Linked DNA regions of Alligator mississippiensis. Each later gene encodes a partner of the first gene's protein in a complex. Links are inferred from orthologs where the notes say so. Each region holds a gene or a part of one and is shown on either strand. Other genes may lie near its edges.

What was found.
Region 2: the proteins of ESPL1 (region 1) and PTTG1 are in contact, whole or in part, in a cryo-EM structure (PDB 7NJ1), measured with the Homo sapiens proteins. The link is inferred for Alligator mississippiensis from reciprocal best matches to the Homo sapiens genes ESPL1 and PTTG1. Residues at the interface, in NP_036423.4 of Homo sapiens: His402, Thr405, Val406, Tyr409, Ser461, Asn462, Tyr465, Tyr468, Arg505, Arg508, Glu512, Glu544, Thr547, Phe548, Arg551, Gln590, Lys593, Ala594, Val595, Arg596, Thr599, Gly600, Arg603, Gln634, Cys637, Tyr638, Trp683, Ile686, Glu690, Ile697; in NP_001269311.1 of Homo sapiens: Tyr111, Pro112, Glu113, Ile114, Glu115, Lys116, Phe117, Phe118, Pro119, Phe120, Asn121, Pro122, Leu123, Phe125, Glu126, Ser127, Phe128, Asp129, Leu130, Pro131, Glu132, Glu133, His134, Gln135, Ile136, Ala137, His138, Leu139, Pro140, Leu141.

What each region holds. Positions count from the first base shown.
Region 1 is NC_081838.1:9,202,265-9,210,002, reverse strand, and holds the start of ESPL1 (separin), read left to right. Parts: upstream 1-4,601; 5' UTR 4,602-4,657; intron 4,658-4,999; 5' UTR 5,000-5,011; coding exon 5,012-5,092; intron 5,093-5,366; coding exon 5,367-6,482; intron 6,483-6,922; coding exon 6,923-7,027; intron 7,028-7,359; coding exon 7,360-7,471; intron 7,472-7,738. Other genes in the region: MFSD5 (molybdate-anion transporter), read left to right, coding at 1-991. UniProt on the Homo sapiens protein: Caspase-like protease, which plays a central role in the chromosome segregation by cleaving the SCC1/RAD21 subunit of the cohesin complex at the onset of anaphase. During most of the cell cycle, it is inactivated by different mechanisms.
Region 2 is NC_081832.1:59,020,930-59,029,101, reverse strand, and holds the start of PTTG1 (securin), read left to right. Parts: upstream 1-5,003; 5' UTR 5,004-5,085; exon of another isoform or gene 5,086-5,149; intron 5,150-5,407; exon of another isoform or gene 5,408-5,666; intron 5,667-7,542; 5' UTR 7,543-7,561; coding exon 7,562-7,643; intron 7,644-8,030; coding exon 8,031-8,172. Other genes in the region: pre-mRNA-splicing factor SLU7, read right to left, coding at 807-887, 2,756-2,909, 4,040-4,203. UniProt on the Homo sapiens protein: Regulatory protein, which plays a central role in chromosome stability, in the p53/TP53 pathway, and DNA repair. Probably acts by blocking the action of key proteins.

The DNA.
Region 1 (7,738 bases):
GTCATGGGATTACTTCGTGCTGGTGGTGGGGAGGATCCTGGGCGGCCTGTCCACGGCCCTGCTGTTCTCCGCCTTCGAGGCGTGGTACGTCCACGAGCACTTGGAGCGGCACGACTTCCCTGCTGAGTGGATCCCCGCCACCTTCGCCAGAGCCGCCTTCTGGAACAACGTCATCGCCGTCGGGGCCGGTGTGGCGGCCAACCTCTTTGCCGAGTGGGCGGGGCTGGGCCCGGTGGCGCCCTTCATGGTGTCCATCCCTTTCCTTGCGCTGGTCGGCATCTTCGCCATGAAGAACTGGGAGGAGAACTACGGTAAGAAGCGGGCACTTTCCAAGACCTGCACGGACGGCCTGAAGTGCCTCCTCTCGGACCGGCGCGTCCTGCTGCTGGGCATCATCCAGGCCTTGTTCGAAAGCGTCATCTACATCTTCATCTTCCTCTGGACACCTGTGCTGGACCCCCATGGGCCTCCGCTGGGCATCGTCTTCTCCAGCTTCATGGCTGCCAGCATGGTGGGCTCGTCACTGTACCGCATCGCCACCTCCAAGCGGTACCACCTACAGCCCATGCACATCCTCTCCCTCTCCGTCCTCATGGTCTTCTTCTCCCTCTTCATGCTGACGTTCTCCACCAACCCAGGGCAGGAGAATCCCTCTGAGTCCTTCCTAGCCTTCCTGCTTATCGAGCTCTCCTGTGGGCTCTACTTCCCGGCCATGGGCTTCCTCCGCCGGAAGGTGATCCCCGAAAAGGACCAAGCGGGTGTCCTGAACTGGTTCCGGGTGCCCTTGAACCTGCTGGCCTGCCTGGGCATGCTCATCCTGCACGACAGTGACTACAAGACGGGCACCCGGAACATGTTCACCATCTGCTCCGTCATGATGGTCATGGCACTGCTGGCTGTCGTCAGCCTTTTCACCGTGGTGCGGAACAACGCTGAGCTGCAGGTGCCGCCTTTGCAGGGACACACAGAGCCGTCATCCCCAGAGCTCTGAGCAGGGGTTGCAGCCACCTGGCATGACAGAACAACCCTTGCCAGCTAGCATGGTCCCAGAGGGCAGTGGGATGCCTGTGATCCTCCTGTAGAGGGCAGGGCTCTGTAGGATACTGGGCTGCTGAGGAGAAATGAGCTCTGAGGCCTGGGCTGCAGCATTGGACTCATGTATTCTGACTCTTTTGGGGAACTTGCTGTCCTGACGTGGTGCGGCACCCCTGGGTTCTCCTCTTGCCCCCAGTGCTCCCAATTCTCTCCTTCCCCTCCTCTACCTCTTTTCTCAAGCTGCCAATGTCAGTGGTGCTGGGGAAGGGCCTGCCTGTGGCAGGCAACACACTGGTGGCAGGGCCCAGCCACCTGGTTCCCAGCATTTGCCGGCAGGGGGATTGTCTGTGTATTAAAGTATTGACCCCCTGTCACTGCAGAAGCCAAGGGTCCCCCTCCACTCTGGTTATTATTTTTTAAGAAAAATAAAACTGCTTCCACAGAATGGTTTTTGAGCCCGCGAGGTTTCTTTCTGGGCTCGGGCTGTGGACGGGTCAGGATCCAAGCAAGAAAGAACCAGCCCCACGTTGCTGCGTCTGCAGAGCGTGGGGAGGCAAAGGTGGCAGAGGCTGAGCGGTTCTTGCAGGACACCTTGCAGTGCTGCCCTGGCTTCTCCCCATGCTCAGAGGAGCTGTGGTGCTGGAGGCCATCCCAGGGTGATTGGGCATGCAACTGCTGGAGGGGGCAGGGGCAGGCAGCCCAGTATGGACTGGGGAACCTGGTGTACTCGCAACCTCATGTACGTCTCCTAGAGGCAGGGGCTGTTGGAGAGGCTGAGGCCTGGGACCACCCAGCAGGTCATTGCCCAGAAGTGTGTCTGGTCTCACCCTCCTCCCCCATCCTCTTCCCAGGTTTTCTCCTTCCCTCTTTCCCACTCTTTTCCTTCTGTTTTCCTGGGGAAGCACTGGCTGCCAATCCCTGTCCTGGGTCCTCTCCAGCTGCAGGGGGTGCGTGGGAGTGCTTTCACCAGCTCACAGCTCAGGGGCCTTCCCTGCTCCTCAGTAGGCAGCTGCTGCTGTTGTCCTTGCACGCGCCGCGCTACAATGTGGACTCCATCCAGTTTGCTGCAGCTCAGCAACTCCTTTACTCTTAGGTTAAACCTTGGACTCATGGACCTGGCACATGCCCAGGGCTTCTGTTTGTGGCTGCCTTGGTCTGCTCAGGCTCTACCTCCCCTGGGTCTGGACTCCCAGTCCATTCACAGCCCCCTGGCCTGGACCTTGGCTCCTGCTATGGCAGCTGCAACTGCCTTCATACCAAGCCTCCAGCACAGGATGGTGGTTGTTGGCTGTCAGCTGGAGAGGGCCTCCCCAGGCTTCCAGCCTCCTCCCCAGTACCTCCAACTCAGTTGTCCTTGCTGACAAAATGCTGCCATGTCCCTGCCCCGGTCCTGCTTCCCCCAACCCCCAGATACGTCTCATTAGGGTTAAGCCAACACAGGAGACATTTTGGTGCTTGATCTATATAGTAGCGGCAGTGGGGAAACTCAGAGGGCTTCAAGCATCGAGGTAGTTTTAACAGGAGCCTTAATGGGGCCATGCAATGTCTTATCTGGCCATAAATGTTTAAAATAGGAGAAGCTAGAGCCTTGGTGGGCTCGTCTCCCAGCTCTTTCCCCCGCTTCTGCCTGCACTCCCTGACTGGAAGGGCAAGTTTGACTTCTTGTGCTCCTCTACCTCCCACTCATCTGAGGAGGGAGTTGACAGCTGCAGGGGCTAAGCTGTTGGAGGGTGGCATGTGGCTCAGCCCATCTCTGTCAGTCCCACTGGGTGGAACCGTTTGCAGGATAAAGGCCTGTACAGAAGTGCTGGGACCCTGCTCTGGGAGTGAACCGGCCAGAACCTCCTGCGAGAGGTCTGGAACTGTGCTGATCTTACACCATTCAAGAGCTCAGGAGCTAGGTGTCCAATAAAGTGGTGGGGTTAATTGTTTCCATAATAAACTGAGGCAGTTGTTCTCTTCCGTCGCCTTCTCGGTGTCTTGAGATTTAGGGTCAGGCTCCAGTCCTGACTCCAGGCTTCTGTGTTCGTTTGTAGGTGACGGAAATGTCTGTGTGGATACAGGATCGCTCCGATTCTCCCCACGACAGTTGGAGGAATAAACATTGGGTGTCCCAGGACTCGGGATGCAGCTGTGAAGCCACACAGCACTGGGATCTGACAGCTGTGCACTAACAAGCCCCTCAGCCATGCTGCTAGCACAGGGGTGGCCAGCCTGCAGCTCCAGAGCCACATGTCGTTCTTCAGAAGTCAATATGCGTCTCCTTGAATCTTTGCACAAGCACATGGCGACCAGCTTCAGGAGATGCATATTAACTCAGGAGCTTGTGAAGTTTTAATAAAGACTCGAGCAGTCCCAGATTCCAGGCGACGCCGAGCCCCGAGCCTTCAACAAGTCATCGGGTGCATGCCGAAAAGCAGAGGATCAACTGAAAACTAACCTAGGGTGTGTGCCCTCTCGCAGGGTCAGGCTGGGATCCTGGTTCCTAGATTTTCTGCCTGCAGTGAGTTGGAAATCTTTGCAATAAAAAGAGGTTCCCCTTGATAAAGTGAAGCTGAGAGCAGGTGCTTAGTGGAGGGGGATCAAGTGCTGCGATTGAATCGTGCCGGCAGCCAGGGCCGGGTTCACCAGGACAGACATTTTGCCTGTCCTGGTGCCAAAGGCCTCGAGCACAGGCACGGACTTGACGGGGGTGAACAAAACCAGCCTGGAAATGCCCAAATGCCCGGTGAGGTTTTTTCCCCATTCCCATCTTTTCCCTTGGTGTCAGGCATCCTGTTCCTACGGTTTTGCCCCGATGAAGCCAGACTGAGGGCGAGCAAGGGGGGCCAAGGAGCAGACAAAACAGCCCCCGCAGCCGAGAGCTGGGCCCTTGAAACCACCTGGACAAGAGCAAAGAGGGAGTGAGCAGAAGGGCCCCTGGGGCCCACCCAGGTTGCTCCCCTACATGGTCTGTGCCACACGGCTTGCACACGCACCCAGCTGGGCACGGTTTAGTTTGCTTGGAGCCCTGAGAGGGTTTCGCGTGTGTTGCACAGGCATGCACGCATGCACACACGCCTATTGTTATGCTGGGGGGGGGGGGCAGGCATGTTGGGGATGGCTCAGTGCAAACCGAGCTTTGCACACTCAGGCTTAGACACGCAGGTGCCTTGAGCATGGCCCAGTTTGCACAACACATGCCCTGCTTTGCGCACAGGCTTGCACACGCAGGGGGCTGAGGCACACAGCGCTTTCCACATGCGGGGGGAAAAGGGGCATGCCAGGCATTGCACACATGGGGGCTGGGGGCACACCTAGCATTGCACACATGGGGGCTGGGGGCACACCGAGCACTGCACACATGATTTGCACACACGGGGGCTGGGGGCACACGCGGGTTTGCACGCGCTCTCCCACCCCATCGCTGCCTCTCGCGCCGCCCGAAAACAACGCCTGCTGGGCCCGGGCGGAGCTGCGCGTGCGCAGTTCTCCCCGCGGCTGTGGCGGCAGGACTACAGCGCCCGGCATGCAGCGCGGCGGCGGGAGGGGCGGGGCGGAGGAGGCGCGCGCTGATTGGATGCGGCCCGGATTTGAACGGGGCGCGGGGCCGGGCTGCGGCTAGCGGCGTGTTTGAGCAGCGGTGAGTGTGGGGCAGGGGGCGCGGGCCTAGGGTCAAAGGGCATGGGCCTGAGGGGTTAGGGGCCAATGTCAATGGGCCCGAGGTGTTGCGGGGCCTGGGCGTCCGGGTTCAGGGGGGCTGTGATTAGGGGGTCGGGGAGTATGGGCCTGGAGGTCAGGGGTCAGAGCGCCTGGGGGCTTGTGGGGGCCGGGGTCAAAGGGCAGGGGGCTGGGGGAGTGTGGGGGGCAATGGGGGGTGGGGGTTTAGGGGCCGTGGGCAGCGTCCCCAGGGGCCCTGCTCCTGCGGCGAGTCCTGGGAGGAGGGACCGACCGCGGCTGCATCCCTGACTCCGGTTTGCCCCAGGCCGCGGGCAGCATGAAGCGCCTGAAAGGAGCAGACTTCATGGCGCAGGCCGGCAGCCGGGAGGAGGCCGAGGCGCTGCTGGCGGAGCTGAAGGTGAGGCTGCCCCTGACGTCCCTTCTGCAGGTCGCGGGTCTACCCAGCCCTCCTGCCATCTTGCCCCCTGTGTGGGCACCGGGAACCAGGGCTGTTCTGCAGTCGAGGGCTGTGGGGAGAGCGAGGGGCTCCCCTAGCTCTTCCCTTGCACGTCTTGGGTGACCCTACGGCAGCGGGAGCTGCACAAGTGTTACCCCAGGAAGGGGCTCTGGAGCCTCCGACACGTGGGGGTGGAGAGGCGTGTCCTTGCTCTAACGATCTCGCTTCCTTCCAGGAATGCCTGGCCTGTGCCCCAGAAGACCTAGCCAGCTCGAGCCAGCCCTCCTGGCAGGGCGTTGTGTGCGACAAGGTCCTGCGCGCTTGCATCCACTGGCTGGGGCTCTCGCAGGGCTGCGTGGCGCACTTCCAAAGCCTCCTGGACTTAGCGGAGCTGGCGTGCCAGGGCTACATCGTGGCTTGCCCCCCGCGCACTCCCCTCTACCTTGAGAAGATCCTCTACCACCTGCTGAAGAGCGTGGCTGCCTCGGGCACCTACAGCGCCTGCCTGAGGTTCGCAGGGATCCTTCGCACCCAGCTTGGGCAGTGCCAGCGTCTGGCAGTACCCAATGAAGATTTTGAGGCCATTGCCAAGAGCAGCTTTAGTGTGCTGTGGAAGGGGGCAGACGCCCTTGCCAAGTCTGACCAGGGTCTTGGGGATGCCAGGGTGGTGCTCTCAGGGCGCCTGCAGGCCACGTGCTTCCTGGCACTCTTGGAAGAGGCCGAGTCCCCCTTGCTGCCCCAGGAGCCGCCCTTCTTCACCTCCCAGACGGTGCGCCAGGCTGCGGTGGCCGCTCTAATGTTTGAGGCTCAGAGGACCCCGCTGAGCCCAGAGGATGCCCGCTACCTCAGCGAACAGCTTGCTTGCCACCCGCTCGCAGTCCTGCTGGAGGCCAGGGGTGGGATGGAGCCCTGGCCCCTCCAGTCCTCCCTGTGCCTGTTGGAGCTCACGTTGGAGCGCTGCCGTCGCCTCTGCAGGGGCAGCTGCTTCCAAGAAGCCGAGGATGCCCTGAAGCAAGCTCGGGTCCACCTGAGTGTATCCAGGGGTGCCAAGGAGGGATTTGTTGCTGCACTGGACCTGCTGCGTATTGGAATAGAGCTGAGCCGGGTGCTGGCAGTGGGTCAGGGCCAGACAGGGCCCCTTCTGTCCCAGGCTGCTATGGCTCTGGATACTGCCTCTGAAGCCCAGGACCCCTTGCTCCGGGCACTGGTGGAAAGTTGCCAGTTCATGGTCTCCTCCCTCAGTGGATACGTGAGGAGGAGCGAGCATAGGCCCTTTGGGCTGGAAGATGCCCTGGGTGCCTCAGCCTTCGTGAAGGGCTATTTTCAGCTCCTGCGGCGGTTGCTGGAGAGTGTGAGTGCAGCCTCTAGGGTAGAGCCTGGCCCAAGGCAACAGGACTCTGCTGGCTGGGCTGGGGGCAGTGTCTGGGAATGACTGAGGTTTTGGGGTACAAGAGCATCTCCTGGCATCCAGCTGGGCCTTGCCCCCTGCTGGGCTGGCACAGCAGCATGTAGGCACTGCACGAGGGAACGTGCTGCTGATCGCAGGGGCATTACCTGTGGCAGGGGGAGTGGAGGCATCTCTGCTGGATCCAGGGTTCTGCTGATAAGGGCAGGGGTGAAAAAGAAGGCAGCACAAGTTGGGGAGGGGGGGAGGGGGTCCCTGTAACCCACCTATCACCCCTGTGCTGTAGATCAGACAGGACGCCCCTTTGGCATGGCTTCTGTAGCTGCCAGCCCCTAGTCTGGCCTTGGCTGTGACAGTACTTGGCATGTTCCTTTTTCCCTCGGCAGATGCCTCCTGACAGCCCGAAGCAGCAGCAGACGGTGAAACAACTGCAGTCCCACTGCCTCCAGCTCTATGCCGGCCTGGCATACGATGCCTTTCAGGGCTCCCAGGTACTGGTGGGAGAGGGAGCTCTCCTGGGAACCAGTCATCTCCGTTGCTAATCCAGAGCTATGGGAATCCTGGGCAGCCCTGAACACCCAGGATTCTGGCTGGATGGGTCATGGTGCTTGTCAGCCAGCTTGGGCATACACTGCTCCTGGGTTCACACCCAGACCCAGGGAGCCAGCTTGGGTACCAGGCAGATCAGGTCCTGTTTCTGGATCAGCCATGTAGTCCTGGGAATGGAGCTATGTGCTCCACAGTGGGCTGGGGGCTTGAGGGTCACTGTAACCCCGTTTGCCTCCACTCTGTCTGCTCATTTTATTCATTGTGCCTCCCGCAGGCAGCTGGCCTGGAGAAGCTGGCGGGGCCATGCCGAGACGTCATCACCCGGATGCTACAGCTGTTCGAGGGGCTCCCTGAGCCGGAGCAGGCAGAGTACCTCGATGTGACGGGTCAGTCCTGCCATTGCTGGTCTCATTTGTGTGGCTTTTCTCACATCCAACTACATGCTGCCTGACCTCTCATAGTCCCTCCAGCTCTTCCCATTCTTGTTTTCTAGCCAGTAACAGGGTCCAGAGAGCAGACGGCAAGATGAGATCCTCACAAATGCCCCTGGGTGGGATGGGACTAGTATTGCTCTCCATAGGAGCAAGCAGCATCTATGCCTTGCCTCTTGCAGGCCAGAGGACAAGGGGATTTTTGAGAGGGGCCTTGGGGAA
Region 2 (8,172 bases), on another chromosome or scaffold:
TATAGCATACTGACAATGGAGGGCTAAAGAAAGAGCAAAAAAAAACTCAAAAAAGGGAAATGGGATTGTAGTCTACAAAACTGGGAAGGAGACTCAGATGCAAGGTACTTTTTACTTAAAGCCCCCTGCCCCCCCCCAAAAAAAACCCCAAACAAACCCCAAAACAAAACAACACAACACAGATTCATAGTTGTAGGGTTGGAAGGGACCTAAGTAGAACTTCAAGTCCGACCCCATGCTGTGGGCAGGAGAGAATACTGGGCTCATATGACCCCAGCTAGGTAACAATCAAGCCTCCTCTTAAAGTCTTCGCATCTGCACATACTCCAACAAATAAGATTTCAAGCTGATGTCACATGAATGGATATTAATGAGTAGTTTTAAAATATTATTATTGATTTTAATAGAACCAGAGCTAAAAAAAAAGCAATACAGCAGAACATGAACTAAAATTAAAAAAGTTACCAAAAAGAACTAAACAAATGACATAGAGGTGGCAGATGAGAGTTGTTTGAGTAAAGTGATCATTTTCTTATCTGTATCTGTTTTCACACACAAGGCTTGAGCTACAAATGTCCTCAGATATACCACACATTGAAATGTCTGTTAGTCTTTTAATGGTCTTCAAACAGCATGTTGAAGAGCTGAATTTCACAAATTCGAGTGAAAGTAAAGCATCAGTTTAATTTTAGTTAAAACTTAAGTTTTAGTTTGACAAATCTAAATCGATACCCTTTCAGTAGATATTTTCCATCATAACAGAACTGAGAGGAATGCTTTCCAGAAAAACTCAGACACCAAGTTACCTCTAGGCAGTCTTTCTTGTTGTGTGTCATTGCACCACAGTTCTCACAGGCCCCTTTGCGATATCTTGTTGCTAAAGCATTCTAAACATGAAAAAGCAAACATTATGTGAATGTAAAGTAGCATGACTGACCCACGATGCCAGTACTTAGCTTTGCCTAATCAAGAAAACAAGCCTAATTAAGTAAATGAAGCACAAGTACATACACCTGTATATACAAGATGAGCTAAAGCATTTACAGCAATTTCCAAATACCACAAACTATTTTGTAGAAGTTTTCCTCCTTCTTCCCTACTTAATCATGAATGTAGAGAAACCATAAAGAAAGATGCAATAGAACATAGGTTCCCAAACTGTGGTATGCATACCCCTGGAGGTACGCAAGACACATCTGGGAGGTATACAGAAGACATTAAGTAGTGGTGGATTTAATTTTCATTATAATAATAATTAATATTTAAGGGCTTAAAATATAAAATGTATACTGCCAGGGGTATGTAGGCAGCTGGTAAATCTGGAAGGGGGGTATGTAATAAGAAAATATTTAGGAACCTCTGCACTAGAAGTGACAGACAAAATTCCATTGAATCCAATGATGTCAGAGTAAGTTCCCAAAATTTTCTTCAGAATACAAACTGAATCCACATTGTTTTGTAGTTATTTAAAGTAATTACCAATAAAAAGGCTAATGGTTTCATTTAAGTTCCTAGAAGGAAGACAGCTATACCACCAAAAACTTACATCCTTGACAGGTTTTTGTAGCGAGACAGAGGATCAAATGGCAATAAATGCTAAGCTATACTGACTGTCTAGAGCAGGCTTGTCCAACATGCAGCCCACAGGCCGCCATTAAACCCACCAAGCCATTTTATTTGGTCCAAGGCGGTGGCGGCCATGCCGCTGTGGAGTGCAGAGCCGCAGTAGCAGAGCCATGGTGAGGCAGGCAGGGCTGGCCCACGGGCCCCAGCTAGCAGCGAGGGGAGGGGAGCAGACTGCCCCACGTGGGAAGCTAAGCAGCGGCCGCTGACACTGCCAGCCTGCGCTTGCCTCCTCACCCGCCCACTTCAAGCCAGCCCCGCTGCCCTGCCATACAGCAAGGCGGTGCCTGCTCCCCCAGCCAGTCTCCCCCTGGGCACTGTGGCTCTCCGGGCCCGGCTGCCCGTGCGCGAGGCCCCGAGGGGGTCGCTTCTCATGTGCTGCTGGGGACGGGAGGAGCCCGGCTGGGTCTGCACTGGCCAGAAGCGGCGGCAGAGCCGTGTGCCACTCGGGATCGGACAGGCCTACACCGGTCAGTCCCGAGCGGCACACGGCTCTGGCGCCGCTTCTGCTGGCCGGTGCGGACCTGGCCAGCCCCCTCCCGTCCCCAGCAGCACATGGGAAGCCGGCTTCAGCTGCATGCTGCTTTTCCTGGCTGGTGCTGACCCGGTTCTGCCCAGGCGGGTCCTGCAGCACCATGTCAACCCAGGCATAGCACTGGCAGGCTGGGCAGGCCCCAAGTCAACCCCAGCCTGGCCTCGTGGCTCCTGCAGCACCAGGTCAACCCGGTTGTAGCCAAGCAGCTCCTGCAGCACCAGGTCAACCCCTGCAACTTCACTGGTGTCAAAGGTCATGTGACATCACTTCCTGATATGATACCACTTCCTGTGATGTCTTTGAATATGGCTTGCCGGCCCACTGGGTGATAAAAAGTTCATGATCCGGACCCACATTCAAAAAGGTTGGACACTCCTGGTCTAGAGAGAGACCCAGAGGTTGAGCTGAAACCTAGCTGGTGCAATAGTTAGTGAAGCAAACTTTACCCAATACTAAAGTTACCCGAAGAGTGACTGGCTACGGTGAAACATGGCTTAAAAGAAACCACCACAATTCTGTCAAGAACACATTCTGCCCTTGGTCACAGGCGTTCCACAAGCCTCACCTTTGCTACACACCAAAAAGGTTTTTACTTACCTCTTGAACCCCTCGTTTATACCAGTCTCCAGATGTGCTAAACTGCTTCTGCTTCTCTGGCTGAGGTCTCTGGTGCTTTAGCGTAGGTCGTTTTGAAGGATCTATGTACCATGGCACTGAGGAGATGTACTGAGGAATATGAGGATTGATATCTCTGAGAAAGATTTTAAAAGAAAATGTTTAGACGTACAAATAATATAAACATGAACAGGAATCTTTTTTTTAAAAGAGCATTTTTTGTATTTAGTATAAATATTTTTGTAACAGGTGGTGTAGATATTGGTCTTCTCAATACACTGAACTGGTCTATACTTACCAAATTAAACAAACCATAATTCTCTTTACTTCGATCCATTTACTTGGGCTGAAATCCAGCCTCCAACCGAGTAACTTGACTTGGTATTATGAACAACATAGGATCTTAGGGAAAGAGTTATACTCCCCCCCTTCAGCAGTGAAAAAACTGAGCATCTCCATCTGGTGAAGGAGATGGAAGTAGAGGAAAGTGAAAGAACAATCTACATTATAACAAATCTTCTATCCGACCCCCCATCCACCACTAAAATGCCACATGGCTCCATTTATTACTGGCATCTCCACTTGCCATATACCAAATAAATGTTAATTCTGTGTAAAAGGAGTCTCTACCCTTGCTGAAGAGGAAGAGGATTTGGGTCTTAAAGAATAACTCACAAAGTTGATAAGTTACACTAAGCCACTGTTAGTGTAATTTTGCATGTTTCTTGAGATTTTCTTTGGCTATCAGCAGGGAGTAGAAATGTAAATATTGTTTTAAAAATTATCTTTTTAACCTCTTCTAATTATAATGGTTAAACAGTTAACCAATAACAGAGCTGCTGCTGGGAGCCACTCCTGGGGCCTTTTGGGTGGGTAATGCAGTGGCAAGCCCAGCCAGATAACACAGCCCAAATGAAGCTCCTAGGTTGGGAGGGAGGGAACAGCACCTGTGAATGAGCAGCTCACTGCTTAGTTGATAAGTCATTAAGCTGCCTGCTGTTTTCCTTTTTAACCTCCTAGGCTAGGGTACTACTCTCCGCCTCACACCTTCCCCTCCTCCTCCCTCCCCTGCAGCCTTCCAGGTCCTGCTGGGTCACTGCGTGGCTTCCTCGCCTCCCTTTCCCTGCCAGATGGGCGCACTAAACAACCAGTAAGCTAACCAGTTGTCACCGGGCTTACCAGTTAATTATTTACCTTTTAACATCCCTAGCAGAAATATTACAATTACATCCCATCGGTAACATTGAAGCCTTAAGTAAAACTTACTTTCCTTCCTCGTCTACTTCGGCTGGTGCATTACCCAGCTTTCTCTGTTCTTCTAGCTCCTTCTTCTTCCTCCAGTCCTCTCTTGTCATCTTCTTTGGCTCTTCCAAGCCCACATCATTCGAACCTCCCGGAGGAGTAGAGGCTATTACAGCCCCAGATGCCATGGTCTTTTCCCTTGCGAACACGTACAGACGTACTGAAAAGGACAATTTCCGGCATTATGAAAACTGAACAAAATCCATTTCAACCCGTTGTTTTACATCACTGCCCTTTACCTTTATCATTTACCTTTATTCACCGCGCTTAGCGCCTTCCAGCTTCCTAGTTACAATTCCCAAGAGAGAATTTTACCCCATGGCCTGGCTGGTCTGGACTGGGGGGAGAGGCTCCCTCTGTAGTGAGGCCTGGCCCCATTTTGGGGATTTCTTGGGGCCCGGCCTGCCCCACTCCTCCATGGGGGCACGATTCCACAAATGCCAACTCCCATGAGAAAAAAAAAATCACGATTTCCAAATGAAATGAACTCGGACTCGTGATCTCCTGATGGAGAGATCAACTCCCGGGACTTTTCCTTCTGACGCGTACAGACAGCGCCGAGGCGGTAGGTCGGGGGGGGGGGGGAGCGGAGGGGACTACGGCGCGGGGGAGAGCGGGGCCGGCACTGGCGTGACCGGGGCCCCAGGGCTGGGACGAGTCACGCAACGCAGCGACGCAACCTACCTGCCGGGCCGTGTTTACCCAACTAGGACTCGGCCTCTCCCACCGTGCACCGCGCGACGGCTCTAGCTCCGCCTTTTAAAGGCGTACGACCCCTGCGAAGGGATGGAGCCTCAGCCTCCTCCCGCAGCACTCGGGGCAGGCCGATGTCTCTGACGAGGTGTCGGCGGCAGGACCCAGCGGGGTGGCGTAACTGCGCATGCGCACACACAACTTCCGGTTGATGGCCGCTTTCGTGCTGGCGGCGACACGCCCCTCCCCTGGCGGAGCGGCCTGGCAGCCAATCGGGAGTCCGAGCGTTGGGGCCCGAGCGAAGCAGCCAATGGGAGGCAAGGTTGATGTTTAAAAGCGTTCCCGCTGATTGTATTGTGTAGAGATTAGTGAGTGTGTGGGGTAGGTTGTTTGTGATCTTGGGTGGGCTTCAACCGCCGCTGCATTGCCCTGGGGTCGGGTCGGGTCGGGTCGGGTCGGGTCGGGTCGGGTCGGGTCGGGTCGGGTCGGGTCGCCCGCGGGGCCGCGCCCAAGCTCGGGCGGACGCGCTGCCCCAGTGCAGGGCACGACGCCCGGTCATGCCTCAGGCTCCGCGGGCTGGGAGCGCGGCGCCTGTCCCGGGGCGACACTCGAGAGAGCTGCAGTGCCGGCGGGGAGGGAAGCGGGTAGCTCAGCGGTCAGGCAGAAGCCCCTAAGGCGGGTGGCAGCCTGCACTGCTCCAGCGCGAGGCTGGAAGCTTTGTCAACCTTTCCACAGCCGAGACCCCCAGCCCTAGTGTGCTGCCAGGCGAGAGGTTCACTGCTGACTAAATCGGACTGCTAAAGTTTAGGGGTGCATTGATAGAGTTTTTGGGGGCTGAAATTTAAGGGGGTATAGTGGTTGATACCAGTCTGATTTCTGATACAGCTGTCTCCAGGTGGTAAGTCCAGTGTGGTGGAAGGAGAGGAGCGTGCAAGGGGCAGATCAGAGCCCTTTGATGAGGGAGGAAGCAGGTGGGGGCAGGGGTGGGGGAGGTGCAGGATGAAGCCACGGCTTGTGGGGTGGGGGTGGCTCCTGCTGCTGCTTGCACTTCTTGAGGGGTGTGCCCCTAGATCTGCACAGTATGGGGCAGGCCACTGCTGTGGTATAGATGGCAGCTGGTATGGGGCAGGTGGCAGCTGGCACTGCATGGGACTCTTCTCAGTAGGGCCCTGGGCTTGGAGCAGGCTCCGGCAGTGCTGGGAAGAAGCTGAAGTCACCCCAAACTTTGCTGTGGCTCTGCTCCCAGCCCTGTGCCACCACCTGGCAGAGCCCTGGCTGAATGCCTCAGTTCCACCCAAGTGCTGGGAAAAGCCATGGTTGGGCTGGGTGGCAGCCCAGGACTGGGAGCAGAGCCATGGCAGGAGCTGCCCCCACCTCTGAGCTGTGCCTCTGTCCCATGTCCCCTTCCCTGCCCTGGCTGGGCCACACCTGCCCCCTCCCTTGCTGAAGGGGGCATTGATCTGTGTGGGCCCCCCCACCCCCAACACCCCTTCCTTCCCACTTCCCTTTCTGACTTGGCAGCTGGAGGCAGCTCTCCACACTGCCAGCTCTGCTCCGTGCTGTGGCTGCATGCAGCATGGGCATATATCAGCCCCATAAGGCTGATATCCAGTAGACAATTTTCTTCATGTTGGTACCAATCCAATATTGGACCAATGTATTGGTGCATCTCTACTAAAATTGAGTCAATTGCTTGTGACTTCCTAACTGAAAGCAGAAGGGACTTTAGCAGTTCAGTGCGTGTAACTAAGCAGCCTAGCTCAGTGGCTGTCAGCTGGGGTTATGCACACCCCTAGGAGTACTTAAAATATTCTAGACCTAGTGTGACTGAAAAATGCCACGTGCACACACAGAGCTGCAGCACAGCACATAGGTGGCCAAGAGAACAGCCAGTTCTGGCTGGTAAATATGTTGTGAGGGAATGGGCTGGGAGAAGGGGCAGATCGAGGCCCCAGTGGTGGGGGTGGGAGAGGAGCTGGGGTGGGATGCTAGACTGAGCTACATGGGAGCAGCTCCCATCTCTGCATGCACCCCAAGAGTGCATGGGGCAGGGGGACATGTGCCCCTGGATCTGTGTAGGTAGGGTGGGATGCTGCTACGGGCTGGGGTCAGGGTTGTGCTGGGCTGTTCTTGGCAGGGGCTGGGCTAGACTGTTCTGGTCAGGTGGTGGCAGTGCTGGGAGGGGCTGCAGCCACCCCAAAACTTGCCATAGCCCCCTTCTGCTGCTGCTGCCACCACCCACCCCCAGCACAGCCTGGTGCCAGTCCCACCCCATGTGCAGATCTGGGGACACGTGCCCTCCCAGGGGTGCACATAGTGGTGGGACCTGGGGTGAAGCATGGGATGGAGCTGCAGCTTCCCCAGGGGGAGGGTGTGGCAGCTCCTGCTACTGCGTGCACCTTGGGAGGGCATGGGGGTGTGTCCCTGGAGCTGCGCAATGTGGGACAGGATGCTGCTGTTGGGCTGTTCCTGGCAGGGCCTATGTTGGGCCATGCTCAGGGCAGGTGCCATCAAGTTGCAATGTATTTATATATAAACCTTTTTGAGTAGTACTCTTAAACAATATGGAGGTAAGAAGACCCAAGTCAACTTTCCAGAAAGATGGTATAACTGTGTAGATGCAATTTTCTTTTTTTTTTTTTTTTTTTGTCATGAGAGTATCTTCCAATGTACTTCTATATTAGCACTTTCATCATGCAGGTCTCAATTGTTGCATTTCTTGAACTGGGAGGAGGTATTATTATATTCTCATGTAGCTTTCTCTTATTTTTAAGTTGTTTCCATGATCTGAACATGGCAACCCTTATATTCATAGACCAGGAGAATGGAGAAGCTGGTGCTACTTCTAAGGATCGACTAAGATTGCCTTCAACTTGTGAGTGTGCACTTTTGCCTTTAAAAATTGAACATTTTAAAATAAACCAGGAATGTGCCTGGCTTGCTATTTCTGGCATGGGAGGTGTGGGAATTCTGAGTAATATAAGCAAACATGTAGACTCTTGTTGGAACCTGTTTTCATTGTTCTTCTGAGACCCTTTTCTCCTTCAAAGGCTTCCAGGGGGCTTTATCTTTTTACAGGCAGCCTTACTCTATTTGTGGGAGTGGAGTGACAAGGAAATAATTCTCCAAGGTTAAAACTTTATCCCTATGTAGAAGTCTTTTTTAACTGTAACTAGTTCCTCCTTCCTAGGCAGAAAGTACTGAAATGGCTCATAGTGGTATTTGCGAAGCATGTAAAGAATCTTAAAACTTTTCTCTGCAGCAGGAAAAGTTCTGTCTGAAAGGTCACAGGTGCAGACTCCCCATGTTAGAAAAACAATTAATGCAACTCCAGTCGCATCTAAGTCTCTCAGAAAGGCTCTAGGAGATGTGAACAGGACTCTGCAATCCACAAAAAAGAAGGA